Rattus norvegicus: one gene and its partners. The protein of the gene in region 5 binds, or shares a complex with, the protein of the main gene of each other region. Links are inferred from orthologs where the notes say so. Each region holds a gene or a part of one and is shown on either strand. Other genes may lie near its edges.

What was found.
Region 1: Rrn3 (region 5) and Polr1h share a complex: the UniProt entries of both Homo sapiens proteins name them as parts of the pol I pre-initiation complex. The link is inferred for Rattus norvegicus from reciprocal best matches to the Homo sapiens genes RRN3 and POLR1H.
Region 2: Rrn3 (region 5) and Taf1c share a complex: the UniProt entries of both Homo sapiens proteins name them as parts of the pol I pre-initiation complex. The link is inferred for Rattus norvegicus from reciprocal best matches to the Homo sapiens genes RRN3 and TAF1C.
Region 3: Rrn3 (region 5) and Polr2f share a complex: the UniProt entries of both Homo sapiens proteins name them as parts of the pol I pre-initiation complex. The link is inferred for Rattus norvegicus from reciprocal best matches to the Homo sapiens genes RRN3 and POLR2F.
Region 4: Rrn3 (region 5) and Polr1b share a complex: the UniProt entries of both Homo sapiens proteins name them as parts of the pol I pre-initiation complex. The link is inferred for Rattus norvegicus from reciprocal best matches to the Homo sapiens genes RRN3 and POLR1B.
Region 6: Rrn3 (region 5) and Polr1c share a complex: the UniProt entries of both Homo sapiens proteins name them as parts of the pol I pre-initiation complex. The link is inferred for Rattus norvegicus from reciprocal best matches to the Homo sapiens genes RRN3 and POLR1C.

Annotation. Positions count from the first base shown.
Region 1 is NC_086038.1:1,598,406-1,603,455, reverse strand, and holds the start of Polr1h (DNA-directed RNA polymerase I subunit RPA12), read right to left. Parts: upstream 3,287-5,050; 5' UTR 3,186-3,286; exon of another isoform or gene 3,105-3,185; 5' UTR 3,093-3,104; coding exon 2,957-3,092; intron 2,728-2,956; coding exon 2,627-2,727; intron 2,463-2,626; coding exon 2,353-2,462; intron 1-2,352. UniProt on the Homo sapiens protein: Core component of RNA polymerase I (Pol I), a DNA-dependent RNA polymerase which synthesizes ribosomal RNA precursors using the four ribonucleoside triphosphates as substrates. Can mediate Pol I proofreading of the nascent RNA transcript.
Region 2 is NC_086037.1:64,560,033-64,564,861, reverse strand, and holds the end of Taf1c (TATA box-binding protein-associated factor, RNA polymerase I, subunit C), read left to right. Parts: exon of another isoform or gene 1-29; intron 30-115; coding exon 116-354; intron 355-462; coding exon 463-579; intron 580-689; coding exon 690-807; intron 808-893; coding exon 894-965; intron 966-1,116; coding exon 1,117-1,252; intron 1,253-1,342; coding exon 1,343-1,480; intron 1,481-1,898; coding exon 1,899-2,073; intron 2,074-2,168; coding exon 2,169-2,306; intron 2,307-2,385; coding exon 2,386-3,299; 3' UTR 3,300-3,783; downstream 3,784-4,829. Other genes in the region: Dnaaf1 (dynein axonemal assembly factor 1), read right to left, coding at 4,166-4,829. UniProt on the Homo sapiens protein: Component of the transcription factor SL1/TIF-IB complex, which is involved in the assembly of the PIC (pre-initiation complex) during RNA polymerase I-dependent transcription.
Region 3 is NC_086025.1:112,591,208-112,596,285, forward strand, and holds the start of Polr2f (DNA-directed RNA polymerases I, II, and III subunit RPABC2), read left to right. Parts: upstream 1-1,856; 5' UTR 1,857-1,901; coding exon 1,902-1,921; intron 1,922-4,541; coding exon 4,542-4,611; intron 4,612-5,078. Other genes in the region: C7h22orf23 (UPF0193 protein EVG1), read right to left, coding at 1,358-1,469, 1,631-1,633. UniProt on the Homo sapiens protein: DNA-dependent RNA polymerase catalyzes the transcription of DNA into RNA using the four ribonucleoside triphosphates as substrates.
Region 4 is NC_086021.1:136,785,750-136,789,929, reverse strand, and holds the start of Polr1b (DNA-directed RNA polymerase I subunit RPA2), read right to left. Parts: upstream 2,801-4,180; 5' UTR 2,741-2,800; coding exon 2,564-2,740; intron 884-2,563; coding exon 716-883; intron 260-715; coding exon 113-259; intron 1-112. UniProt on the Homo sapiens protein: Catalytic core component of RNA polymerase I (Pol I), a DNA-dependent RNA polymerase which synthesizes ribosomal RNA precursors using the four ribonucleoside triphosphates as substrates.
Region 5 is NC_086028.1:2,636,093-2,639,290, forward strand, and holds the end of Rrn3 (RNA polymerase I-specific transcription initiation factor RRN3), read right to left. Parts: intron 2,518-3,198; coding exon 2,335-2,517; 3' UTR 925-2,334; downstream 1-924. UniProt on the Homo sapiens protein: Required for efficient transcription initiation by RNA polymerase I (Pol I). Required for the formation of the competent pre-initiation complex (PIC).
Region 6 is NC_086027.1:22,231,584-22,236,502, reverse strand, and holds the start of Polr1c (DNA-directed RNA polymerases I and III subunit RPAC1), read right to left. Parts: upstream 3,186-4,919; 5' UTR 3,130-3,185; coding exon 3,061-3,129; intron 2,967-3,060; coding exon 2,895-2,966; intron 1,184-2,894; coding exon 1,076-1,183; intron 851-1,075; coding exon 718-850; intron 274-717; coding exon 154-273; intron 78-153; coding exon 1-77. Other genes in the region: protein YIPF3, read left to right, coding at 3,431-3,511, 4,047-4,244, 4,385-4,491. UniProt on the Homo sapiens protein: DNA-dependent RNA polymerase catalyzes the transcription of DNA into RNA using the four ribonucleoside triphosphates as substrates.

The DNA of each region.
Region 1 (5,050 bases), on a different chromosome or scaffold from region 5:
TCAGATCCACAGAAACGGTGGATCTTAGAATCACCACACACACACACACACACACACACACACACACACACACACACACACACACACACACGTTTAATATACTTAACATACACATTTAAAGAATAAAAGGGGCAACTTTAAATGATTAGTGGGTGCAGAGAGTTGGCTCACTGGTTAAGAGCTCCTGTTGCTCTTGCAGAGAACCCAGGTTTGATCCTTAGCACCCACCTGGTGGCTCATCTAACCATCTTTAACTTCAGTCCCAGAGAGTCTGACATCTTTTTCTGACCTCTCTGGGTACCGGACATGCAAACAGTGCACTTACACACATGCAAGCAAGACACACACACATAAAAGTGTTAAGTGAAATGATTGAAAATTTAAAATGACTCACAAGCTAACTGGATGGTTCGTGACATTTGAAAAAAGTAGTAATGAAGGGGAGGGCAGAGGAGACGGCTCAGCTGGGAAAGGGTCTGTTGCACAGACATGAAAACTTGAATTTGGATTCCTGGGATCCATTTAAAAGTAAAGAAAATTCTGGGTGTGGTAGTCCACATGTACAGAATGGGCTCTACTAGATCTGGGAAACATGGGACAGTGGGAAAATGAATGTCCAAAACGCACTGACTGGGTAACCGGCCTAGTCTGAGCTCCAGGATCAGAGATTCTGCCTCGTAAGATAATGTGGAGAACTGGAAGTGGCGGCATACATTAATTCCAACGCTCTGGAGACAGAGGCTGATTGGTATCTGGAAGTTTGAAGCCAGTCTGGTCTCCAAAGATTTCTAGGCTAGCCAAGAATATAATGAAACCCTGTCTCAAAACACACACACACACAGAGAGAGAGAGAGAGAGAGAGAGAGAGAGAGAGAGAGAGAGAGAGAGAGAAATACCCAGTGTCTAACACTGGCTACCAAATATACACATGCACAAATACATGCATACATCCACATGAACACATAAATACACTACACCTACAACATTCTCCCCACCACAAACATACAAACTGAAGAGAAAAATCTGACATCTTTTTCTGACCTCTCTGTAAGAAAGATCTGGAGAAATTACCCAGAAGACTCTATAAACAGAAATGGGATGGAAAATACAAAGATGAGAGATGTGAAAGTCTAATAAGAAATTTGAGGACATGGGGGACAAGCAATACTGGAATGGGATAATGGCTGATATATTTCCAGACTGACAAAAGGTAAGTCAAGTCTCAGCTTGGGAAACCTAAGGGACTGGTATGTGGTTGAGCTGGTAAGAGTGCTTATATAGTTCTCCCAAAGCTCAGAGTTGGATCCTCAGAACAGTTATGGTGGCACCGACCCGCCTGTAATCCTTGAATCTCAGAGGTAGAAGCAGCATAAGAAGATTAAGAAGAAGAAAAACATTAATTACAATTCTAAAGAGAACAAATACAAGAGAGCTCGGGGCACCACTGAGTGCAGAGCACTTCTTTCACATGCCTGAGGCCGAGAATTAAAGCGGTACCCCCAGGAGAAAGGAAAACAACAAAAAGCAAAAGCACAGAAAGCCACACAATTATGTAGAACTACACAACAACCAAGACAAGACTGCTCCAAACCATCCAGACCACGTCCTTTGAATCATGCAAGATTATGTCAAGTCACTCCTTCACAGTGTAAAATTTCAGCATGTTGTCCAACTGTGCAGAACAATGCCTACTTCCTGTGCTTTAAATTTTCCTAGAAGCTTTGGTTTTCATTTTGCTTTGGTGACAGCCTGTGTAGCTCAGGCTGGCCTTGAAACCACGATCCTCCTTTTGAGGCACACATTACCACACATAGCTCTCTTTTCATACATCTTAATAGGTTTAGAAAACTAGCTGTAAAAACAGTAAGGGGGTGGGTGTTGGGGGGGCTGTGAGATAGCTCAACGCTTAGGAGGATCTGCAGAGGATCCAAGTTCAGTTCTCAGCACCCACATCCAAAGGCTCAGAGCTACCTGTAATTCCAGCTCCAGGGACCCAAGGTCTCTGGCCTTGGTGGGTACCTGCACGTTCAAATATGCAGATATAAACACCTACACATAACTTTAAAAGATAAACAGTCTTTTTAACAAGCCAGCTGCAGTGGCACATGCTTGAATCTCAGCACTCAGGAAACAGAGGCAGGAAACTTGAGGTTAACCTAGGCTGTATGGTTGAGAGTTCAAAGCCAGCCTGGGTGAGCTCTAAGTCTTGAAAAACGCCAAGTAAATAATAAAAATAAAAAGGGGCTACAAACCCTCCTCTAATGAACCGGACCAAATGAAATAATATGAGTCTGTCATTAATGTTGTTTTGCAAGCACTGAAAAGGGGCAATGGGAGGGGTAATCGTCTCACTTGCAGTTGATACAGGTATAGAAGACAGTCTGTCCTTCATCAGCTGAGCGCATCTGTCTGGTGTAGTATGCCATTCCCTCGTGACCACATCGGGAGCAGCGCCTGTCAACCTAGGAAGGAACAGAAGGGTTATGGAGTTCTAATCATAGTCTCTGCTTCCACATAGAAATCAGACTATTGCACTCCTTGGACATTCTCACGGAATGGAGTGCAAAACCAGGTCTCCCAATTCCCCTTTCCATTGTTCTTTTGGAGCTAGTCCTTATCAACTTACTACTGGTCCCTGGGATTCAGGTCCCTCATCCACAGACATAGGTATGACAGTCCCCAGTTTGTTGAACACTACTGAGGTCTTCACAACCTTCCCTCCAAAATCTGCACAGGAAGTAAAAATAAACAAACCAATAAAAAATAACAGTAGAAATAGCAAAAGAGGCAACGAATCCCAGCAACACTCTCCCAGGTGAGTCACGACCTCCCTTTGAGTTTCTTCCCTTGGTCAATGTCTCCCTAACAGATTCCTGTTCTGAGTCTCACCTCCCTAAGCCCAACCAGTGCTGAGGTCACCTCCATCGTGGACGTAGCTAGCATACCAGCCCCTCACCTCGCACATCGATGGAGAAGCCACAACGAGGGCAGATGACAGTATCCTGAACTCCAGGCAGCGGCAGGACGGAGCCACAATCTGGGCAGAAATCCAAGTCTGATTGAAAGTTGGAGCAGGGGCGGGCCAGCTCCATGGCGGATGAGAGCTGGGAAAGAGGAGTTTATTATTGAGGCGCAGGAGTCTGGCCTTGAAGGTGGTTCCTCACCGCTTCCCTAGCGGGAATTACCTGAGTCCTCCTCCCACAGGATCCTCTGACCGCAGAGTTTGGAGTGCTAGGAGCCTGGAGCCTCAGCTGCTGGGGAGCCTTGTGCGGCAGGAGGTAGGCGGAAGGGAGATAGAGTACAGATCCCAGCCGCGGGCTAGAGCGTCCGATCCCAAGGCGCCAGGCAGCGAGTGCGCCCGGCGGGCTAGAGCGTCTTCCGGGTCCTGGTGGCCGTTGGGTCGTGACGTCATAATTAATGGCGCAGGTACTCGAGGCCGCTTAAGGGAAGGAGCCGAACCTCTGGCGGAAGGGAATATACGGCGGCACGCAGTCTGGGACTATGACGTCGACCAAGTTAAGGCGAGTAGCTAGTGCTAGGCCACTCGCTATTTTCCTGCTCCGCACTAATCCTGGACTATTTGCTTTTGCAGGGAATCCTACACGTAGCAGGGGAAGGGGGCGGGAGCGTCCCCCTAAAACTGTACTGATTTTTCCAGAGCAACTGATACCTCTTGGATTGAGAGAACCGCAACTTTTGCTGGTTCCCGAGACCGTTTTGTTTTCCTTTTGCAGCCGCTCAGTAGTCAAAAGCAAAGCTAAGAAGCATTCTTTTGGGCCCTCCTGGCCGTTCGTCTCTCGGCTACACCGGCTTCCTCGCGTCAGCTTTGGGCAGTTCTGAGCACTTGAGTGAGTCAGCTTCGTAAGGAGTGTGGAATGGTGAGGGTGAGAGGGAGTTTAGGGATTTGAAGATGGTGCAACTGGTGTGACTAGGGCTCTTCTCTCCCTAGGCACTTGCCAGATGAGGGAGAGGGAGGTTAGTTATTAAAGCACTTCTTTGGATTTACTAGGAGATTGGTCTTGGCTTTCACTTGCAGACCATCTTCCACTCTCCTAAGCTCCCATTCACCCGTGTTTAAATACCTGCCATCCAGTAAGTGAACAATAGAGTAAATGTAAAGTCGTGTCGTTTCATTCACCAGAAGCGTACAAAGTAAGGAAAACGTATACTGAAGAAGGACCAGCTTGAAGACAGCGTCCCCAGCCCTCCAGCAGCCAACCTGATTACCATGCTAAGTCACATAACTACTTTCTAAAGGACATAAACTACTCTTTCATAGAAGAGACCCTCATCTGTCTTTCTGTGCACTTATTGTGAGATTAAACCCTGGAGAAGTAGTTAAAACCCCTGAGCAAGATGCCGGAGGACAGACCCTGTCGTTTTACTTAGGGGTGAAACTGGCAAAGCTCTGTTGCCGAGACTGTGATGGTTGAACTCTAAATTTTACCTGTGTCTTCTTTCAAAGTAGAAATTAGCCCCACTTTCCCTTTAAAGTTGGACATTCTTCAGACATCCACCGTGGTTTGACCGCTGCCTTTACTGCACAAGCAGTATAAGGCATGACGTTCCTTTCCCATTAAAAGCTCTGTCTGTCCAATACATATTTAGCACCTGTGTAAGGGTTAGAGCTGAGACCAGACTGTGTAGTTGAAATCTGTGTTCTCTCTTTAATACAGATGAAAAGTTAGAATATGGAGAAAATACACTAGTCGGTGCTTGAACCAGAGATACAAAGTCTACAGTATATAGCTCTAGATTTCATGGAAGACTGGCACACGCTTTAATAAAAGATACAGCATGTCTGTGTGGTCGTGCATCCCTTTATCTTAGTACTAGGGGAGCTGAGGCAGGAGGGTTGTGAGTTTAAAGCCATCTTGGGCTACAGAGCAAGGTCCAAGCCAGCCTCAACATGTAACAAACTTCTGTTATGGTTCATGTGTGTGGGGGTGCTCATGCGTGTGCATGCATGCCTGCTGGGATGGACCCCAGGGCCTCAGTAGGTAAGCCTTTTACGACTGAATTAAATCCCCAACCCTGAGATAGTTGTGAG
Region 2 (4,829 bases), on a different chromosome or scaffold from region 5:
TAGGAGGCACAGAAATATTCAGGGACAGGGTACGGTGTATTCTAGGCAGCTAAGAGAGAGGTTCTCTGCATGTCCTTCACTGTCCCAGTGCTATCCTCTGCTGCTCTGTCCCTAGGTGTCCCTGGGCTTCCCTCAGCCGCCGGCTACGTCGATTCTCTATCCTGGGGGGTCCCGTCCTAAGCAGGTCCGTGTCATTGCTCATGGGGAGGTTGCTGCATGAAGAGCTGGCCACGAGGTGGGAGCAGTTGCTGATGGATGAGGCCTTCACCGGGGGTGCTTTGGCCTGGCTGCCTGGAAGGACAGCACGGGCCGGGCAGCTGGTCTACCCTAGTGGAGGTGCCTTGGACAAGCTGTGTATCCTTTCTCCTTTGGGGTTGTGGGGGGGTGTCCACACAGTGGGCCAGGGGAAGAGTGAGCTGGGCCACTGGGGTCCACTCTAATAATCCTTAACCAGGCACTCAGATTTCCAGGAGGTCAGTGTGAATTCAGGTGGCAACCCTCGGGTCCTTGAGGACCCTGGGCACATCCAGCTGCGGGGACCTGTACGGCAGGTGGTGACTAGCACTGTCCAGGGAGAAAGTAAGATGTCTTCCCTCCCTCCCTCCCGCCTCCCTCCCTCTTCCTTGTCCAACTAGCTACCATCACCCTCTACACACACACTGCAATCCCGACCTCCCTGTCCTCCCCAGCGCTTCTGGCCGTCCGCTCTGACTACCACTGTGCTGTGTGGAAGATTGATAAGCAGGAGCCACCAGCACCCCTGCAGGTGCTACAGGTGGAGAAGGGAGCCACTGGTATTAGCCTCAGGTAAAAGATGTGGGCTTCCCGGCATGGACAGGGTCTGGGAGAAGGGCTGAGTTGCTGGATGATAACACAGCACCTGTGCCCTGTAGCCCTCACCTGTCAGGAGAGCTGGCCATCTGCAGCCGTTCTGGAACTGTGTGTCTGTGGACCCCACAAGATGGGTAACTCCCCTCTCCCCCAAAACCTTCCACTCCAAAGCAGACCATGGCCTTCCATTCCATGGCCCTAGTCTTCCTTCTAGCCCAGCCCCTCAACACCTTTGTTCCCCAACCCCCACCAGGCCCACACTCATGGCCTGCCTTCCTCCTCAAGACTGCAGACAATCTACAAGGACCCTGAGACGCTTGCCTTCCGTGATCCGTCTCCCTGGCGCTGGGCAGACTTTACTGCCCATCCCCGGGTGCTGACTGTGGGGGACCGCACGGGTGTGAAAATGGTTGATATTCAGGTATTGGTTGAGGGGGGTGAGGAGAAGCATTAAGCAGGAGACTCATCTCCAGCCCTAAGACACAGGCTAAGTGTGCTGTACTTTGTCTAGGGCCCGCCGGGCTGTGGGCTGCTGCTGTTCTGTGCTGGAGCAGAAGCTGCCTGCCAGAAAGGAGAACGGGTGTTGCTTGCCCAGTACCTCGGGCAGCCGGGTCCTGCCTCTACGTCTCTACATCTCATCTGCACCCAGGTGAGCGGCAGCCTTCTCGGCCTCTGCCTCTGACTTCACCAGCACTGCTGCCAGTAGGCCTGATGCACAGCCACAGGAACCAAGGAATGATGGGTCCCCGTGCATGTGACCTCACTAGAGGCAGGCGGACTGGGTCATCTGCAAACCTAGATCTCAGGACCTGGGAGGAAGCAGAGGTTGATTCTGGCTCAGGGCTCCAGTTGGCCCAAGTGCCTACTGTTGGGAGTGCAGGGATGGATGTCAGGGACTTCTGGGAACCCTGCTGCTGCCCAGAAAATACGTTTTAGGTTGGGTCGGCCGCATTGAGGGGGACTTGAAGGCCAATGGAAGTGCCGTCCTCCTGCAGGCTGTGTGGCCTGCCAAGGGTTGTTGGAAGGCTGGTACGAATCCACCATGCTCACTCTCCCTTCTTCCTCAGTTCTCGATCTACCTGATGGATGAGCGCCTCCCCCTGGTGCCAATGCTTAAGTGGGACCATGGCCTGCCATCTGCACCCCTGCTTGCCCGCCTGCTACCCCCAGCTAGTCCTGGCTATCCCCGGCCCCTGCTACTGGGGGGCCAGGGTGGACAGGTTCAGCTGCTTCACATAGCAGGTCAGCCTGGCAGGTGGGGGGTAGGGTGGGGTGGGAGCTTATGGAGACATGCTAGTGCTGGCACTGGTATGCCTAGCTCTCTGTCCTTTCTCCAGGAGAGGGGACTTCCATTCCCCAGCTGGCAGGACCTCCTCAGTCTCTGCCCTCCATCACCGACTCCCTCTCTGCCTTTCCCCTGCTGGAACCCAAGAGGCAGCAGCAGCTGCAGGAACGTCTGGAGGCGCCGGTCATAGGTGCGGCAGGCAGAGGCCTTGTGGGGCTGCTGTGGGGGGGTACTGCCAGGCTCTACAGCTCTTTTCCTTCCCTGTCCAGGTCTGGCCGCTGCCCCGCCCTGTGCCTCTGCGCCAGGCCTGTTGCTCTTCCAGCTCTCAGCAGCTGGGGACGTCTTCTACCAGCACCTGCGCATCCAGCAAACCTCCAGCCTCAGAGAGCCTGATCACCCAGCACCAGAACGGCCTGCATCCAGGGCGGCAGCACCTCCAGTGGACCAGGGATCCACACCCTCTTGGACCTCTCGGGCCAGTGCCCGTTGCAGCCGCTGGTTGGAGGCGCTGATGGAGTTGTCCCCCACTAATCCAGTGTGGGCTGCCCCCACCTTCTCCCACCGCCGTTTTCTGGGCCACATGGAGCGGCAGAAGAGCCAGGAGACCCTGGCACAGAAGCTCCAAGCAGCCATGGCCAAGGGGCAGCTCCTGCGGCCTGGGGACCTCGGTACACTCCCCAAGGCAGAGCCACCCCCTGCACCGCAGTGTAGCCAGCAGGATGAGCTCACTGAGCGCTTAACCAAAGCCTGGGAAGGCCAGGCAGCTGCCTGGTGGAAAAGACATCAAGATCAGACCTCCGGGTCCCAGAGACAATCCAAGCGGCCCAAGCGCCGGACTCAGCTCTCTAGCACCTTCTCCTCGTTCACAAGCTACATGGACTCCCCAGATGCCAGCAGTGCCCCTCACAGCCAAGACCTCTCTAACTCTGAGGCCTGCCCTCAGCCACCCAGGACTCCACCCTCCCAGGAGTTAACGCAGGAGCTGTGGGCCCAAGGTGTGCAGCATGAACGTCGCCAGACCCTCCGGGACTACATGGCCAAGCTGCCACTTCAGGACAATCCAGGACCTGTGGCTACACCGCCCTCCCAGACCTCTAGCCGCCAGACCAGGTCTTTCAGGCAGCAAACACCTGTCCTCTCTGGCTCCCATCCTCCCCGGAAGAAGCCACGAATGGGCTTCTGAGTTGGGGAAGCATGTCTGAGAACCTAGCCTTCATCCTGGAGCACTGAGCTTACCTATTCCAGGGCAGAGCCTCTACCTCCCAGTGTGCCCGTGGGAACTTGAGCAGTTTGGAGCCAGGCTGAAGCAATGGGGAACAAATCTGTTTTGTATATTTGGTGGTAGGTTATTCCTGAGAGCTGGCTGCAGAGAGAGCCAGGAGACCATGCACAGGAACTCTGTGTAGCCATGGCCAAGGGCCAGCCAGCTCTTCTAGCCTGGGGATCTGCATATACTCTCCAGGGTAGAGCTACCCCTGCACCTCAGTGCAGCAGGGTTGCTAGAAAGGAGGCCATTGTGTCAGCGTTAGCCTCCTGTCCTTGAAGGTACCTCAGCCCAAGTGCCTCCTGACATGGCTGTTGTGGGTCATTTGTGCGACAGTCCACATAGGTTCAATAGGGGTTGACGCTTTGACTCTGGGACTGAATAAACTTGTCCACTGCCTTGAGCCGGATGGTCCTGTGGTCAGAGCAGATGGTGTCTGATGTGTAAAGCCCACTTGCTCTACCTTGGGGACACACACACTGAATACAGTGGGGTGGGGTTTCTGACGTCATCAGAAGAGAGCCTGACTGGCAGCCCAGTAACATGCTGACCATGCGGGTCTTAAGTGTTTATGTTCTCGTGGGATCTGTAACCAGGGGAAACCGATGTGTTGGGTACACGGCAGGCACACTGGTGTAGCTGCACAGCACCTGCCATGCAGGGTGCCGGAGCAAACCAGCAGGGATACATAGAAGAGGGTGCCCTGCATCCGCTGCACCACTGCTAGACTAACAGTGTAGACTGCCTTGGGGTTCAGTCCAAGCCAAATTCAATATCTTCCAGGCCTATCCGGGTGCTGGGCTCCTCTGGGTACAACGAAGACTGTGCTTCATTCTCAGCTCCATCTCCTGAGGAGTAAGGAGAGAACAAATCAGTACTTGGTAAAGCTGCCCTTCTTGCTGAGCGCCGGTCCAGGCCAGCACAGACTCCTTATGTGCACTTAAGACCCACACAGTCAGCATGTTTACTGGGCTGTAGTCATGTGCTCTGATGAGATCAGAAACCCTACCCCACTGTATTGTGTGTGTGTGTATGGATTGTGTGCACGTCCCCTTGTGCAAGGGGAGCACTGGGAACATAAGCCAAAAGCAGGTACCTAAAATGCACACCCAACCCTTGTGTTTTGTGCTAACTGCCCAGACAGCCTGTGCCTGAACACAGCAGTGAGGTTGTGGATGGTCTGTGGTCCAACCCCTACAGAGCCTCCACAGAGCGTTACCTAGTGGAGTGGCTGCAGGCAGCTGACTGTCTCCACCTTCACTAGACTGGGCAAGTGTGGGGTCACTTGCACAGCTTTGGGGTGGCAGTGGCTGGTTTGACTCTCCCTCTGTCAGCTCATCCTCTCCGAGCTCCTGGATGAGGGGGTGTGAAGATGCTGTGCTGGGGTCTTGACTTTGAGTTTCTAAGTCTGTTGTTGCTGTTGGCATACATATGTCTGCGAAAGGCACC
Region 3 (5,078 bases), on a different chromosome or scaffold from region 5:
TCCTCTGCCTACTTCATCTTCTCCAGAGTGCATGCCACTTCTGGTTTTTTCCTTTTCTTGTATTTATTCATTTGTTTTCTACCTTTTTATTTATTGGTTTATTTATAGACATAGTCTCACTATGGTCATAACTTGGTATATACATTGGGCAGCCTCACACACACGTCCACCCACCTCTTTCTCAGAATCAACGACATGAGCAGCTTTTCTTCCCTTAAGAGAGAGAGAGAGAGGGGTTGGGGATTTAGCTCAGTGGTAGAGCACTTGCCTAGCAAGAGGAAGGCCCTGGGTTCGGTCCCCAGCTCCGAAAAAAAAGAAAAAAGAAAAAGAGAGAGAGAGAGAGTGAGAGAGAGAGAGAGACAGAGAGAGAGCGCGTGTGTGAATGTATGTGTGTATGGGTGTCTGTGAAGGCCAGAAAAAAGGCACTGAATCATAGGAAGCTAGAGTTATAGACTGTTTTGGCCCACCTGACATGGTTGTAGGGAATTGAACTTGGGTCCTTGAGACTAGCAGTCAGTGCTCTTAATCTCTGAGCCATCTCTCCAACCCTTATATTAAGGATAGGTTCTTACTATATTATACAGACTCGCTTTTCTTGGGCTCAGGCGATCCTCCCAAGTAGTAAGCTTGCATAGCTTTATATCTGCCTAAGACAAACACACACTTTTTTGGTGACTGGCTAACATGGGTGCTGGGGACTGAACTTTCAAAGAGTAGTAAATGCTCTTAACCACTGAGCCATCTCTCCAACTGTAACACACACACTTATTTTGGCGTGTGGTGTGCTGGGACTGAAATCCAGACTTCACATCTGCCTAGAATATACTCTATCACTGAGTGACACCCCAGCTCTATAATTTTCTATTGTTAATTTTTCTTGTTACCCTCCTGTACTATTAGCTCTATAAGAGCAAGAATTGGCTTTCGCAATCCTCTCAACACTCTATTCCGAATACCTAGGACAATATCCAAATCATATATTGGGTTTTTAGTCGTTGAATAATTAAATGCATGCAGGTTCATTCACATAGCAGAGTCTGGAGCTACAATTGTGTGCGGAAGCTGGCTCGTTCTTTGCCTGGTGGCATTCACCATTTAGAAGATGATAGCTGGGACACTAAACACCTGTAAGACTATATATTATGCTAAACCCGGTGAAGGGAGTTGAATGTGGTACTGTGAAGGTCCTACTGTGGTGGGAAGGAGATAGGCTTCATTGAAAGTGCACGTAAAAGATGAGCTAACCATTCCAAAATTCTCCATCTCTGGCCTTTGATTCTCCCCAGAACCCTTCTGAATCCCAAGCTCTTAAGGGAAAACCGCACCGCTCAAGTCTTTGGTCCGCTAATGCACTAACCTCTGAGAAGCTCACAGGTCCCCGGCGTGTAAGCGGCTTGCTTACGGCAGCGGTGGAACCCGGTTCCGTTTGCCACTGCGTCCACCCTCTCCTGTGAAGCCATGGGAGGGTTCTAGGAGGGAGAGAAGGAATGACCAGCCCTCTTCCCGCGTCGCAGACAGACCTCTCATCGCTAGCAACCTAGGAGACTGAGAAGCTGGTGCTCGACCCCTCGGCTCCGGACAGCGCGGTGACCACAGTCCTTATCCTGACGGTCTAGGGCGGAGCGCTCACCATCAGCGATGACCCGGGCGTGACAGAGCCTTCCTCACGGAAATCCTCCGGGGAGCCAGAGTGTGAGCGTCCTCACCAAGCACTCCTTATTACCATGGTAACTAGCAGACACGCCCCCACGCACGCGCATTAGCGCTCGCGATCGACTGCCTCCCGGAAGTGATTGCGCCTAGGTCACGGCGCAAGCGCAAACCACACGTGTTGCCGCAAGGGGCTGAAGCGCGCGTTTCTCTGCTCTGCGACCCGGACCGGCCAGTAAGGAGAAGGTATCATGTCAGACAACGAAGACAAGTGAGCGCGGGCCACGGAGGGACGGAGGTTGTGGTGCAAGCCGGGCTCCTGGAGTACAGGCTAGTGGGTCGGTGGGGCGAAGTCTTCAGAACTTATTACCTCGCGGAGCAGTGGGGACAGTGGGCAGAGATTTCGTCCGTGTAGCCCCTGCCCACCGAGCGCTCCCTTTCTGGAAGTGAATGCCAGTGGTGTAGCTTGCGTAGTCGTGGAAGTAGGGAGGAAAGAGCAACCCAGAGAATGGCCTGGAAGGCTGGGAGCAGACGCGGACTTGGACTAGGTGAGATAGTAGCAAAGGTGGCCAGAAGTGGGAGTGGACTCTGGAGAGCTTGAAGTTTAGTGTTGTTTGAGACAAAGTCTCACTCTGAAACCCAGGCTGGCCGGGGATTCATGATGTAGCTAAGACTAGCTTTGAATTTGCTACAGTCTTTTGCTTCAGCTTCCCAAGTGTTGGTATGTCTGGTATGTGCTACCAGACCCAGCTGGATTATAGACATATTTTTATTTTATTTATTTGGAGAACAAATATAACCATATATCAGGTGGTTCGAACTTAGAGATCCATCTACCTCTGCCTTCCAAGTGATGGGTATTTTTGTTCTTTTTTGAGACAGAGTCTCTCTACATAGTCCTAGCTGTTCTGAAAGTCAGTGTGTAGATTAGGCTGTCCTCAAACTTACAGAGATCTGCCTGCCTTTACCTCCTGAGCACTGGATTACAGGCGTGTGCCACCATGCCTGGCTCCTGATATATTTTAAAGATAGAACCTAAGGGATTCCCTGATGGGCTGGCTGTATGTGTTAGGTCAAAAGATAAACTATGGTAGTCCAGCTATATCAGTAGTATAGATGTATCAGTCAGAACTCAGAGGCTGGGTGTGGTGGCTCACAGGTATAATCCTAGCACTTGGGAGAGGCTAAGGCAGGAGAATTGCCATGAACTAGATGTCAATCTGTGCTAAATAGTGAGTCTCAGGCCAGCCAGAGTTACATAGTATTCAGGAAAACTGACTTCAACACAAGCAGACAAAACACAGGCAAAAATGCAATGAAAGCAGAGATGGCAGTGCTGACCAGGGCAGAGTGCCACCAGAGAAGAGATGGCTAGTTAGTGACTGAGGGAAGAGAACCCAGAAAAGGAGCCCCTTCCCCAGAGTGGGAAGCAGGAGGAAGGAGCCCGGTGTGCTGGCTGTCGGATGAATGTCTGTGGCAAGGGTTCAGCACTGTAATGATCGTTAGTGAAGCTGGGAGTGGTGCAAGTGTTTGGTCCCAGCACTCAGGGCAGACAGGGGCAGAGGGATCTCTGAGTTCAAGGCCAGCCTGGTTATGGAGTGAATTCCAGGACAGCCAGGCAGCACAGAGAGACACTTTGGGAGGGCTGGGTTAATCGGTGAGCACACAAAGGGTGGCTTTGGAGCTTGAGGGTGTGTTGAAAGTCTTACTGAGGCGAGAATATGACAGGGAAGAGAAGAATTGGCAACAGTGGGTTTGGCAGCTTCCTCATACATTTTGTGCTACAGGAGGCTGATGGAATGGCTCAGTGGTAAAGGTGTTTTTGCTGCACAAGTAGAAGGAGAGAACAGGAAAGGTTGTCCTGGTGGTGTATGTGGACCCGGTAACTGGAGGCCATGAAAATGGCAGTGTTGTCTTGGCCTTACGTTTGTTTGTTTTGTTTGTTTTCTCCACCATAAGGGAATATGGAATTAGACTGTAGCAGGAGGAGAAAGAGAATAATGATTGGTTGGCTGGTTAGTTGGTTGGTTTTTTTGTTGGTTTATTTGTTTTTTTTTTTTTTTTGTTTTTTTTTTTTTGTTTTTTTTTTTTTTGGTTCTTTTTTTCGGAGCTGGGGACCGAACCCAGGGCCTTGCGCTTCCTAGGTAAGCGCTCTACCACTGAGCTAAATCCCCAGCCCCGGTTTATTTGTTTTTAAAAGAGGCCGGTGATGCTGGTAGTGTGTTGGTCCTGAGAAGGCTGGGGATTTCATGCATGCTGTATATACACTCTACTTTTGAGTTACAAAAGTAACTCCAGTCCTGGAGTAAACTTCATTTGCCTTTGCTCTTGAGACAGAATCTTACTATGTAGCCCAGGTGGAGTTCAAACTCCTAGTTCTCTTACTTCCACTTTCCAAGTGCTAGGCATACTGGAGTGTGCCACCACACCATCAGATTTCTATTTCTCTTCTTACGATAGGCTGACGAGAGGGATGGCTTAGAGGTTGTCAACACTTGCCAATTTTCCAGGGAGCAAAACCTTCATTCCCAGCACCAGGTAGAACAACTCCAGCTTCAGGGAATCTCACCCTTTTCCGGCTTCCACAGGCACTTGTGTGTGTGTACACTCAAACTTACACAAGATAAACATTGAACAGTCTCCAGACCAGAAAAGTATCCATTTACATGCTGACTAGAATAGTTCACAAAGAGGGAAACCACAACAAACGAGTCCTAGCAAAATGTAGGGACATATGGGACAAAATTGGAGACATAAAGTGACCCACCAAAGTTTGGTTCCCTTGTTGGGGATTTGTCAGTTCCACGTCCGTCTGTCCATCATAGCTGAGACAGTAGGCTGTGTCTCTGCTTCTGGCCAGTGATGCCCTAACCACTGGTTTCTTCTGGCAGTTTCGATGGCGATGACTTTGATGACGTGGAGGAGGACGAAGGGCTTGACGACTTGGAAAATGCTGAGGAGGTCAGTAGCGAGCCCCAGCCTTGGCCCTGCAGCCGGGGACACCGAGGGATGAGCAGTGCTCACCAAGAGCTCTCGCTGCCCTTTTCCCAGGAGTGAGCTTCCACAGATCCGCTCTGGGCCTTCTGAGTGTCACCTCAACTAGGTCTCGGGATTATTGTGTCTTATTATGTATGATTTGTTGTTGTTGGTTTTTGGGACTTGTTCTCAGTAGATAGCCTGGAGTTTACTATTTAAGCCAGGCTGACTTGTAGGTCACGAGAAACCAGCCATCCTCTGCCACCCGAGTGGTAGGATTAAAGGCAGCCCAGGCAGAGGTAACTTTGGTTTTATTCACCACTGTATCCTAGCACTTACAGTACAGTTTGGCATACAGTAAGCACTCAACAAATAGTTACTTTTTTTAATGTGTATCTTTATGCACATGCATGTGTGCCATGTGTCTGTGTATGCAGGCACACTTACCTGTG
Region 4 (4,180 bases), on a different chromosome or scaffold from region 5:
CTGTGGTAAGAGTCAGGCACAGCACAGACCCGTATCAGTGGTCCAGCTTCCTGTTCCTCACCTCCAACCCCAGCCTCTGCTGCTGCCCTGCAGCCTAGATCCCTGCACTCACCTCTGCCTCCTCGTGGTGCTCAATGAGGACTTGAGGAGGAAGGTTGTATAAGTTGCAAAGCTTGGACTTCACCATGATGGGAACATAGCCAAGAAATTGTTTAATGATGCCTTTGGGGACTCCATTCACGGCCCAGCTGATATCAGCCTGTAGGCAAGTAAAAGAAAAAAAAAATGAAATTATCTTGAGATGACAGAATAAATATTTAAATAAAAATTTAGATGTATTTGTTTTTATTTTGCATATGAATGTTTTGCCTGCATGTACGTCTGTGTACCAGATGTGTGTCTGGTGCCAGTGGAGGCCAGAAGAGGGGCTTAGACCTGCTGGAACTGGAGTTCCTGGCAGCTGTGAGCCTCCATGGTGCCGGGAACCAAACCCTGGTCCTCTAGAAGAAAAGGCAGTGCTCCTAACCACTGAGACATCTCATATATTAAAAGGAGGTACTGACTTCATGTTTCAGATGACACTCGATCCCTTTAGAGGAAGACACGATCATTTCAGTGGCAACGCTAAGGAAGCAGGCCTTTCCTATAACCTTATTAGGCCCCAGCCCTAGTCTCAAGTGTGCAGGGACGGCTGCCTGCCACCACTGATGCTCACCGTCAGCTTCCCTCGGTACGTGCTCCTCCGGCCACGGCACTCAGCTGGATAAATGTTGAGCTCTTTGCAGATGGTCCCTTTGGGCACTGCGGGTGGACTGATGGCAGCGTCCACAATAGTAAGAGATATGCGCTCATCTTTGAAAGCAAATTCGAAGGGAGGTATGGCCTGAAAGACAATTCACCCTGCTAAGTCACTTACATTTTTTAACACACTCTTCACTAAGAGTCTCTGAAATCACCATGGTCTACACTCACTGACATCTACCACGCAGCAAATCTAAAAGGGACTAAAGCTATACCTAACTGGTTACTTCGCCAACTCTTTAATTATAATGTGTTTACCAAGGGCTTTTTTAATGGTGCGCTGTGTATCTGATTCTGCAGTAGGTGCTACAGACACAGAAAACGCTAAGCCAAGAGTCCACCTTCTCTGCGCATAGGAAGACAAGGAGAACTGCTTTTTTTACCGGCAAGTACATGATGATCTAAATGTTCAGCTCTGTATATTTTATTCCCTCAGACTGAAGCCTGGCAATTCAAAGAATTGTAAATGGCTTCTGTATTTCCAAGTATCAGTCAGACAGTCAAAGCTCTCCCACATCTCTCCATCCCTAATTCTCACAATACAGTTGTTTGACAACAAAACCTCAGGGTACCGTCTACTACATATGTCCCTCCCCGAACCTACTCCCTCCAGAGGGAACGCACCATCTTCTTCTCTTAACCTTATCTAATGTAGACCTTTCTAAACACCTGGAATAGTTGCACTTCCATGGTGCTCCTGACTAAAAAAGCTCTACATCTTAGAGCAGTTCTCAAGAGAATGCCATTGACTGCTTGTAGGTGCCTGCTACCCCTACACAACCAACAAGGGTGAGGTACACTTAAACCTGAGAGGTGTCTTACTCTCAGAGCGTAGTGCCAGGACTACAGATGCTAACAAAAAGAGACCTTGCCTTATCGTCCTTTCCTGAACTCTGCTACCATGGTTACAATGATCCCCTGGGCTTTTTTTTTTTTTTTTTAATCTTCCTCAACAGGCCCAACTCAGAAGAGGTGGCAAGTTTTTCTCTTGCAAATTCTTTTTTTTTTTAAAGATTTATTTATTATATATAAGTACACTGTAGCTGTCTTCAGACACCCTAGAAGAGGGCATCAGATCTCATACAGATGGTTGTGAGCCACCATGTGGTTGCTGGGATTTGAACTCAGGACTTCTGGAAGAGCAATCAGTGCTCTTAACCACTGAGCCATCTCTCCAGCCCTCTTGCAAATTCTTAAAAGAAGCTGGGTGGTGGTACACACCTTTAATCCCAGTACTTGAAGGCAGAGGCAGGCAGATGTCTGTGAGTCCGAGGCCAGCCTTGGTCTACGGAGTTCCTGGACAGCAAACGCTACCGAAACCCTGTCTCGAACCGTTCCCGCTCTCCTGGCCCCCAAAGGAAACTCTAAGGGAAGCAAACTGAAGGATGTGCTCTGCTGCAGCCTGTCTGAATCAGCTTGGAACCTTCTGAGGTAGTTTTAGAACGTAAGACTCCAGGTGTGAAAAGGCGTGAGCGCTGTCAATGGGCGGAAAACAGTCTCAAATAGATCACGTCCTCACTCTCCTTTCACAGTACCCAAAACCAGGGCTCGTACCCACATATAAATCCAGAAATCACAAATACATGTTTCCCTCCATCACTAGGCTATAAGTTGTTTTCTCTCTGAACTATCCCAAAGAACTGTAGGGTGAGCTTGCATCACTATTTGAGGTCATACTGTGGCCTCCCGGCCACCTCCTCCAACCTCAGGGACCCTCCGGCCGAGGGTTCGGGCTCCGGAGCAGAGAGTGCGCTCCACTCACCTGCACCGCGTGGCTCAGCCCCTCCAGCACTGCGTAGTTGAAGGAGTCCACGTGCGCCCGCGTCAGGTCCTGCAACGCCGCCTTTTGCTGCTCCGGAGGAACCGCGTACGAGGGGTCGGTTAAATGCTTTAGGCTGGGCCCGCTGGGCAGGTTCCGCCACCGGCTGTCGACATCCATGCTTCTGCGAGCCCCGGACGGGAAACCGGAGCTACGACTCCACTCGTGGACCGCAGGAATGGCCGGAGCAACCCTACAGCCACCCTACCCCGTGGCCTGCTGGGAAATGTAGTTCCTCTTGTTCTGCCCGCCCCACCTTTGGTCCTTCCATTTCTCACGGTCGACTGGAAACTTAAACCATGGCGTGGTTGGACCTGTTAAAACTACACACAAGACACCTTTAATTCCAGCAATCGGGAGGCAGGGGAATCTCTGTGGATTCGAGACCAGTTTGGTCTAAAAAGCGAGTGCTAGGACATCTTAGGGCAATAACACAGAGGTGTCTTGAAACACCGAGAGAGGGAGGGAGGGAGGGAGAGAGGGGGAGGGAGGGAGGGAGAGAGGGGGAAGGGAGGGAGGGAGAGAGAGAACACTACATAGACAGGCAGATCTGCCTCTTCCTCTAAACTTCGATGTTTTGTATCCTACAAACCGTACTAAATCCCTTTCCACTTTAGTGTGTGACCTCTGTGACCCATATTAGCTTAATTAGTCAATTAGGACCCGATAGAAGTATCTTTAACGGTTCCCTTCTGTCCCTTTTCACAGCTTGCCTCTTACATCCTGATGCAGACTTTAGGAGACTCTGAAGTCTTGGCTTCTACTGAAATGCAGATTTGGGGCACCAACCTGTCCTCTCTACTCAACTCTTGGTTTATTATAATAATAATTATTTATTTATTGTTGTTTCTTTGTTTTTTGAGTCAGGGTCTCTCTATGTACTCCTGGCTGTCCTAGAACTTGCTTTGTAGACCAGGCTGGCCTGGCACTCCATCTGTCTCTGCCTGAGTGCTGGGTTAAAAGCATGTGCCACCACCCATGGCTCTGTCTCTTTCTCAACTCTTTTTATTTTTTTAGTTTAGTTTTTTCGCATACATTGCATTCTGGCCTCAGTTTCCCCTCCATTCCCTCCTCCCAATCTTCCCCCCTACCACCGTTCTCCTCTAAATCCACTCCTCCTCCATTTCCCTTCAGAAAAGAGCAGGCCTTCCAGTTATATCAACTGAAAATGGCATAACAAGTTACAATAAGCCTAGACACAAACCCTCATATCAAGTCTGGACAAAGCAAATCAGTAGAAGAAAAGTATCCCAAGAGCAGGCAAGAGAGTCAGAGACGGCCCCTGCTCCCACTGTCAGAAGTCCCCCAAGAATACCAAGCTATACATCAATACATGCAGAGGACCTAGCTCAGACCCATACAGGCTCCATGATTGTCGATGCAGTCTCTGTGAACCTCGACGAGCCCTGGTTATTTGATTCTGTGGGCTGTGCACTTATGGTCTACTCTACTCAACTCTGAATGTTGATCACTAGGACAGCCAGCAGTAATCAGGCCATGCTACCCAAAAGAAAAGAAGCAACCCCAGCCTGCTTCTGGATAGAAATCAAGGGGGTTGGA
Region 5 (3,198 bases):
CCCAGAGCGGTACTTCCCCTGGTTGGCTGGGCCCTTCCACATCAACCATTAGTCAGGAAAATGCTCTACAGACTTGCCCACAGGCCCATCTAACAGGTACAGACCTGTCTGATAAAGGGACTTTCTCAGTTGAGGTTCTTCTTCCCAGAAGATTTTACCTTGTATAAATTCTTGTCAATCCTAAGCTTGTGAAGAAAACAAACAACAAATGGGAGGTGGGGGTGGGCACATGCTTGGGAGGCAGAGGCAGGTGGATCTGAGTTTGAGGACTGGGCTACAGGACAGCAGAGGTATAGAGAAAAACCTTGTCTCAGAAAAGAGACACAGAGAGAGAACAAGCATTGGTAGAAACTTAGTAAACAGTGGAAGAATCCCAAGGACTGAGTGCTGCCTATAGCCTGTTTACTATACTAAAGCCAGACATGAAGGCATAAGGGAGCTGAGGAACCACACAATAAGTTCAGGACCCAGGCTGCAATAGCCTGAAATAAGATGCAGAGTCCTCCAGTCATGGACTAGCAGCACGCAGCTATAAACCACAGAGCGCTTGCAAACTTCTCCCCTCGAGATGGCAGAGACTTGTCTGGGTACATGTTATGTGTTAAGACCCTGGTTTCCATCCTCAGTACAAAAAAGAAAATTCTCTTTGTTTTCCAAGGAGACCTTACTAATTTCTTCCAAAAATGTTTTAGCTTTTAAAAACATCACAATATGTCTGATGTTAACTTAAAAATGTTCCTGCTTCAGCCTCCAAGTGCTGAAATTAGAGAAAGTGTATAACCATGGCTAGATAGGATGCAATTTCTCTCAAGCGTACAGATTTGTTTAAAGCACAGGAAACATCTTAACCAATGCCCATTTGTTGCTAACCATCTCACTCCCTTTAGGAGCAGGAGGGTAAGAACCAACACAGGAGTCATGGAGGCATGGCTGAGTCTTTTTATTAAAGCCTGCATTGGCTGTGAACAGGGAGGCCTCAGGTGAGCTAGGCTGTTCTTTCATTTTCACAATAGATTTTTCCCCTCAAACTCCTTTATACTCCAAGAGGCTTATTTGTCAACATACCTTCTACATTCTAGCTACTGTCCAAACCTGACATCCCGTCAGAATCTACAGATGCAATTTCATTGCATTTTCTGTCAGCAGTTAAGTAAGAACCTTGAACCAGGCAGTGGTGGTGCAAATTCCCTGCACTCCAGAGTTGGAGGCAACTAGATCTCTGAGTTCAAGGCCAGCCTGAGCTACATAGTGATTTCCAGGATAGCCAGGACTACACTGTAAAAGAAAGACATATAGAATCTTGAGGTTTCCTAGTGACTTGCCACCAAAGCTGGCCTGGGACTCAGGGATTTGCCTGCCTCTTATAAAAGCTTTTTAAAGCAATAAAGTTTTCCTGATTCAAAAAGGTATTCATAGGCAGACTAAAATCCAGGGCTCTGCATCAGTCTCATTACACAGGAGTATATAAACCTTGAGAAGAATTCCATTAAAAAATATTGTGACCAAGAAAATATCACTTCCCTTTAAATAAATATAAGTGGCAAAAAATTAAATATACTTAAAGGGATATTTTCACAAATACACAAGTTTACATGTAAGGATACAAGGGAAGGCAACTTCCACAGTCCTCAAACACACCTGCTACAGAGCAAGGCTGGCTGTTTAGTATAAGACAGCTCTTCTGGCTTGAGTCCATGTTGTGCAAACTGTGGAATGAATGTTGACAGACACCCAGGTCCGCTTCAGTCAGCCTGAACCATGGCTGCTGCAGCTGTGCTGACGTGGAATCCTGAATAAGTGCCTTTTTGTGATTCTCTGAATGCTCTCTGCCCACCTGGCTTCTCTGCAGTCCTTTGTGTCCCCTTGGTAAAGTTCAGCCCCACCTCTGGCTGGCCTCTCCCCATGCACCCTACAACACAAATAGACTTCTAGTCAAAAGGAAACCATCATGCCACTGTAAGCAGGACACAGTTAAAAGTATTCACAGGCAGTGCTGATCCTGGAGGATATGTCCCCAAAACAAGACCAACAAAGTCATGTGATTGTGGGTCTAACAAAAAGGAACCTGTCAGAAGGCCACCTGCCAGGTGAGGCTGATGTAGCATGGAGCCAGCAATTAGAAGGCTGTAGGCACAGATTGCTCTGTTCACTGTGAAATATTGCACATGACACTCAATCTTTCCTTATGTCCACAGGGAGCAAACTGCAAACACACACAACCTGGGGCCCTTCAGATGCTGGCTGAAGTCCAACATGGAGGCTGGACACGAGGCATAGACTAGTTCAATGCGGGATCAGTGGTGGGGCACAGTGCCCTGGGGAGAACAGCGTAGCTCAATCACAGATCCTTGAGAGGAGCGAAGATTGGTCTGGCATAAACAGCACAGGAGGGGAGCCCACACTACTGGAAGGACTTCGAAAGTGGGTGTCAAAGGAGTTCGGGGTAAGGCCAGCCACTGTGTCACTCTGGGGCACTTCGCCTTTCAAAAAGTCATCGTCTTCATCCTCCACTAGCTCCTGTAGAGAGAACAGATATGAGAATATCACAGTGTTGGTCTGAAAAGTTTTCATGGGATGGCAACCTGAGTTTGTACCAACATGTGAAAGGATGAACCAAACCCCCAAGATATAAGTCTGTGTACTCCTGAGGATCCCAAAACAAGAGCAGCCTCTACAGTAAGCATTTGCGGCATTTGTACTTGGTGGCTCACAGTGAAACTCTGCTAGGATCACTTTCTGTTTGTGGAGCCAGCAAAGTCCTACCCAACAAGAACTCAGATCTCAACCTGTGACCACTGGAGGTTGAACAGCCCTTTCCAGGGATCTTCCATAGGGTTTGTTTTTAGACCGGGTCTCACTCTGCAGCCCCAGCAAGCCTCCAGCACCTGTCTCCCTGTGCTGGGATTACACACAGCCACACAGCTGTTTTCAGCTGTTCTCCTTCTCAACTCCTTCCTTGAGTACCCCAAGACAGGGCCCCACTGTGCAGCAGACTGGCCTCAAAACTCCTGATCCTCCCAAGTGCTTAAGATGGCAGGCATGAGCCAGCACACCCAGCTTTGGGGCTGGGATGGAACTCAGGGCCTCATTTATGCTAATCAAGTACTCCACCACTAAACCACATTGAAGCTGAAAGCAAGCTCATTTCCATCCAATTCTACCTCCCAAAGTCATTATAGAAAGTACCTGATTATTTAA
Region 6 (4,919 bases), on a different chromosome or scaffold from region 5:
CACAGGGCGAACCGTGCCCTCCGGGAAGACATCAGCCTGGTTTCCCAAGGGCACCCACGTCATGTGCCTGGTATAAACTGGAGGGAAAATGTCAGAAACCCCAGATCCTACAATTGCCCACCCAGGCTGGTGGGCCCTCTCAGCACCGCTCACCTTTGTGGTTCACATAGAGTTCATTGGGGTCGGAAGAATCCTTAGCAGCACTGGGGTTCCTGGTACACCTGACCTGCAGCCGAAACTGTAGTGTATCTATCTCTGTTCCCTCCTCCTCTCCTGTACAGGGAGAAGCAGCAGGGTTGGTTTGGCTCTGAGATAGGGTTTCACAAGCCCTGTCTATCCTGGAATTTGCTGTGTAGACCAGGCTGGCCTTAAACTTCTGCCAGTCTTGGGAGTAAAGATGTACACCACCATGCCTGCCTGGCCCTACTAGCTCTAGTAACGGGCTGACAAGAAGCCTCAGAGGGTGCATGCTTGCTTAAACCTACAGACCCAACTTCAATCCCTAGAAACCATGTAAAGGTGGAAAGAGCCTCTGAGCGCTGCTGGCACTGTGCTAAGAGTGAGGGATTAAAGGCAGGGGCAAGAGAACGTTCTCACAGGCGAAGGCCCATGTACAAGAGCCAACTAAGATCACAGTTAATTAGGCCTGGGATCTGAGCCCATGACAGATTCCAGGACAGTTCTGCCTAACTCATAATCTCAACCTCTCAGCCTTACCTGGGTTCCGATATTCAAAGAGACGTGGATCAGCAAGAATGGGGATAAGCCCCAGGCGGTGAGCAAGGATCTCATCCTGGACGATGGATGTGTTGTTATACACCAAAACCTTTTCCACAGCCATTGTTGGCACCTGCCCAAGGAAGCAAAATGATCTACCTGACCTCCACCCATCCCCTACCTGGAAAAACGAGGGGCAGCCCTTCTTAGTTTTGCCCTTCAGATTTGATACAAGGTTTACTGTGTAGTTCGGACTGCCCTCTGAAGTGTTCATATTATAGGTGTAAACCGCCCCACCCGCCCGGTAGTCTACAGATGGGGTGACAGTTTCCACACTCCAGCCCGCGACTTCTAATACCTCAGCTAACAGAATCCTCCGGAAGGCATTGGCAATGGCAGCATCAATCCCCACCATGTCGAACTCCAGTGTGCTCTCGTCCATATGCACCACGTCCACACGGAAGTTCTAGAGGGGTAGAGAAAGCCCAGTGGGTGGGAAACCTGTTCCTCTTGTGTGAACCCAGTCTACCCTGGCACTATCCCCCAAGATCATCAGTAGACATTTTGTCTCTAGTCCCACTGGGAGGGCAGTGTACTGTTCCTTGTTTATGTTTTTCAAGACAGGGTTTTTCTGTAGCCCTGGCTGTCCTAGAACTCACTCTGTAGACTAGGCTGGCCTCAAACTCAAAGATCCACCTGCCTCTGCTTCTTTTTTTCTTTCTTCTTTTTTCTTTTTTTTCGGAGCTGGGGACCGAACCCAGGGCCTTGCGCTTGCTAGGCAAGTGCTCTACCACTGAGCTAAATCCCCAACCCCCTGCCTCTGCTTCTTGAGTGCTGGGATTAAAGGTGTGTGCCACTATGCCTGGCTTCTCAGATAGTCCACAGACCACCCAGCAAAGCTACTGTACAAAAAGCAGAACTTCCCACCTATTTAAACCATTTGATACTTGCATTTTTTAATATCTACTTTTCCTTATCTAAATTTTCTCTTCCACCCAGTAAACGTTACTTTCTCCCAGGTTCTAAATCCCCTGGGTGACCTTCATGCTGCTGACTCAAGCAAGGGCATAGCAGCTCCTGACCTTGGTCTGACTTCAAGCATCACCACTCGACCGGTAGACTTCGCAAACAACTGTGCCATCGCCCTGGTCCTCCCGCTTAGCAAATGACACAGCCAGCAACACAGTTCCCCAGTGTGGCTGGAGAAACCACTCGGCAGTTAAGAGCACTTACTGCTCTTGCAGAAGAATGGATTTGGTTCCCAGCACCCAGTGGGACCTCCTCACACTGCTGGGAGCAGTGGTGCACAAATACACATGCAGGCAAACATACATACCAAGAAAAGGTTATCCGTTCCTCAAGCCACAAGGTCCTTTCTCACACTGCCCTCACCACAGCAATGGTCTGCATCAGCTAGTTACTACTCTCACTCCATTACCACCATCTGCAGTTCATCCATGCCCCCAATTTCAGCCTCCATACACTAGCTGGCAGATTCGCCAGATTCATTCCTTCCCAGCTATCAAGACTGCAAAATTTTATCAGTCTACTGAAAAATTCTAACGGGGCATGGTGGCTCATGCCTTTAATCCTGTGCACGGGAGGCAGAGGCAGGTGGACCAATCTGAGTTTGAGTCCGGCCTGGTCTACAGAGGGGGTGCCAGGGCAGCCATGGAACCCTGTTTCAAAAAGACATAAAAATAAAAATCTATCACCTACAGAGTCTAAAATGCATTCCAATCTTATCTACTGCTCATGCTGGTGGACTTACATTCTGACAAAAATGAGCTGCTGCAGCTGACTAAGAGCAAACCTTATACAAGCGTTTATAATGAAACTCGAATTAGGCCTTCACCGCTCAACTTTTATTCATAGTTCAAAGCTTAATTCAAATGTCACTCCCTAACTACGTCCCTTCAATTGGCTGGATTAAGTGCATCAATGATTCCTACCCCATCCCAGCCATCTTCATCGCTATTTTATTATACTGAAATAACTTGTTTGTGGCCCATTACCCCACCGAGAGCAAACAATTTATTCCACAAACAGGAGCGGTGTCTGACGGCCCGTCCATGGATCGGGAAACATGTTTTCATGTTTCATGAAAACAGAGATCCCCAACCCAACCTGTGAGGTCTGGCCCCTCAAACCGTCTGGACACTTCCAGCCCTACCCACCTTCTCGAACCGGTCCTGGTCCCAGGCATCATCATAACCGGAGTAGTTACCGGGAAAGTCAGTGGTGTGGACCTAGAGCCAACAGAAAGGGCAGTGAGGCCAGGCCATACACCAGGCCTCCTCTCTCCCGTGCCTCCCCCATCACTCCCGCGGTCCGATCTCTTACATTGCGAACCCCAAACTCTCCCAGAACCACGCGAGTCCGCATTTCCTCCACCGCCTGAGCAGCCGCCATCTTCCACCATCAGCCGTGAGAGGAGGCTCCAAGTTAGCGCGTGCGTGCTAGCGGCCCGCCTCCGTCTCCGCGGCAACGTTCCGTCTCCGGCAATCTTCACTGTCGCGATATCTTGTCCCGCCTCTGTCCACGTCCTTCACTTCCGGACGTCAATTGGGGCCAAACATCCGGGTTTCTCACTTTTGCGTTCCGGCTGGTCCTACCTCGCCTAGTCGCTCCTCTGAACCTTTCCTTCCCTCGGGCCCAGGTCTCACACTATTCCCACGAGCGCTAGCTTCAGCGACGGGAAGCCTCGAGGGACATGGCGACTCAGGCGGCGCCGGCCAGCGGCGTCCGAAATGGTGCTGGCCCGGAATGGGGAGGCTTCGAAGAAAACATCCAGGTATTGAGAGCTCTTGCTGCCAGCAACTCCCCGGGCTGGCGGCCGAGTGTGGTTGCTATTTTTTCTCGCGGCGTGGAAGTCGGCTCTATTGCCACACTGCCTGTCCTCTTTCAGTCTTCCACGCGAAAGTGTGTAGAGCTTGTGCTGGCGTGAAAGGGCTAGATTAAGGTTCGAGTCTCTGTACCTGCCCGGGGCTTTGCAGACGGGTTGGGGGATCTGCCTGGATCAGGCATAGTATGGGACTACAGGATAGAATTTCGGCACTTCCTAAAATAGGCTTGTTTGAGAGTTGGGAAAGGCAGATGGGCTTCTTTGCAACTCTTTGGAGCTTTGGGAGGGGCGGGGGGGGGAGGGCGAACTACAAGTGTCGCCACCAAGAGTTGCCAGCAGTGAAAGGTTATGTATAACACAGTGGGTAGCAGTTCCAAGCCATATCCTCGTCAGTGGAAGAGCAAAGCCTCAAACTGTCAGATGAGGGGAGAACCAAAGGATGCAACGGAAGGGCCCCTCACACTAGGAGCCATTGTCTTCACAGGGTGGGGGCTCGGCTGTGATTGATATGGAGAACATGGACGATACCTCAGGCTCCAGCTTCGAGGACATGGGTGAACTACATCAGCGCCTGCGTGAGGAAGAGGTAGATGCTGATGCAGCTGCTGCAGAAGAAGAGGACGGGGAGTTTCTCGGCATGAAAGGCTTTAAGGGACAACTGAGCCGGCAGGTAGCAGATCAGGTAAGCCAATGGAAAGGAAGACCTGTGTGTGTCCTAGGTTGATACACTTTTTCCACTTAGACCTACATACACAGAAATCAAGCGGAGGCCGGGTAACCGTCTAGAGCCAGGAGTTTTTCATAATACCCATCTCCTTTCAGATGTGGCAGGCAGGGAAGAGACAAGCTTCAAAGGCCTTCAGTTTGTATGCCAATATCGACATCCTGAGACCCTACTTTGATGTGGAGCCTGCCCAGGTCCGAAGCAGGTGAGGAGCCTTCTCTGAAACATCTGTCCTCACATCTAGACCCTCGTCCAGACTTCAGTCAGATACAGAGCCCTGAGCTCTGGTGGGCTCCCATATTTGTAACCCCATCACTCTGGTCACTGAACTTGTTGCTGAATACATGGTGAAAAGTACAATTGGCTAGGTCCTCCATCAAGTGCGCTAACCCCCGCCCCCGTCGTTCCCCCACCCCCACCTGCACCTCCCTCAAATGTGCTGACCCCCCCCTTCCCTCTACACCTCCATCAAGTGTGCTGACCCCTCCCCCGTTCCCTCTGCACCTCCCTCAAGTGTGCTGACCCCTGCCCCTTCTGCACCTCCCTCAAGTGTGCTGACCCCTCCCCCTTTCCTTCTGCACCTCCCTCAGGTGCACTGCCCTCTGCACCTAGTCTAAGCAGCACTCACTTTGT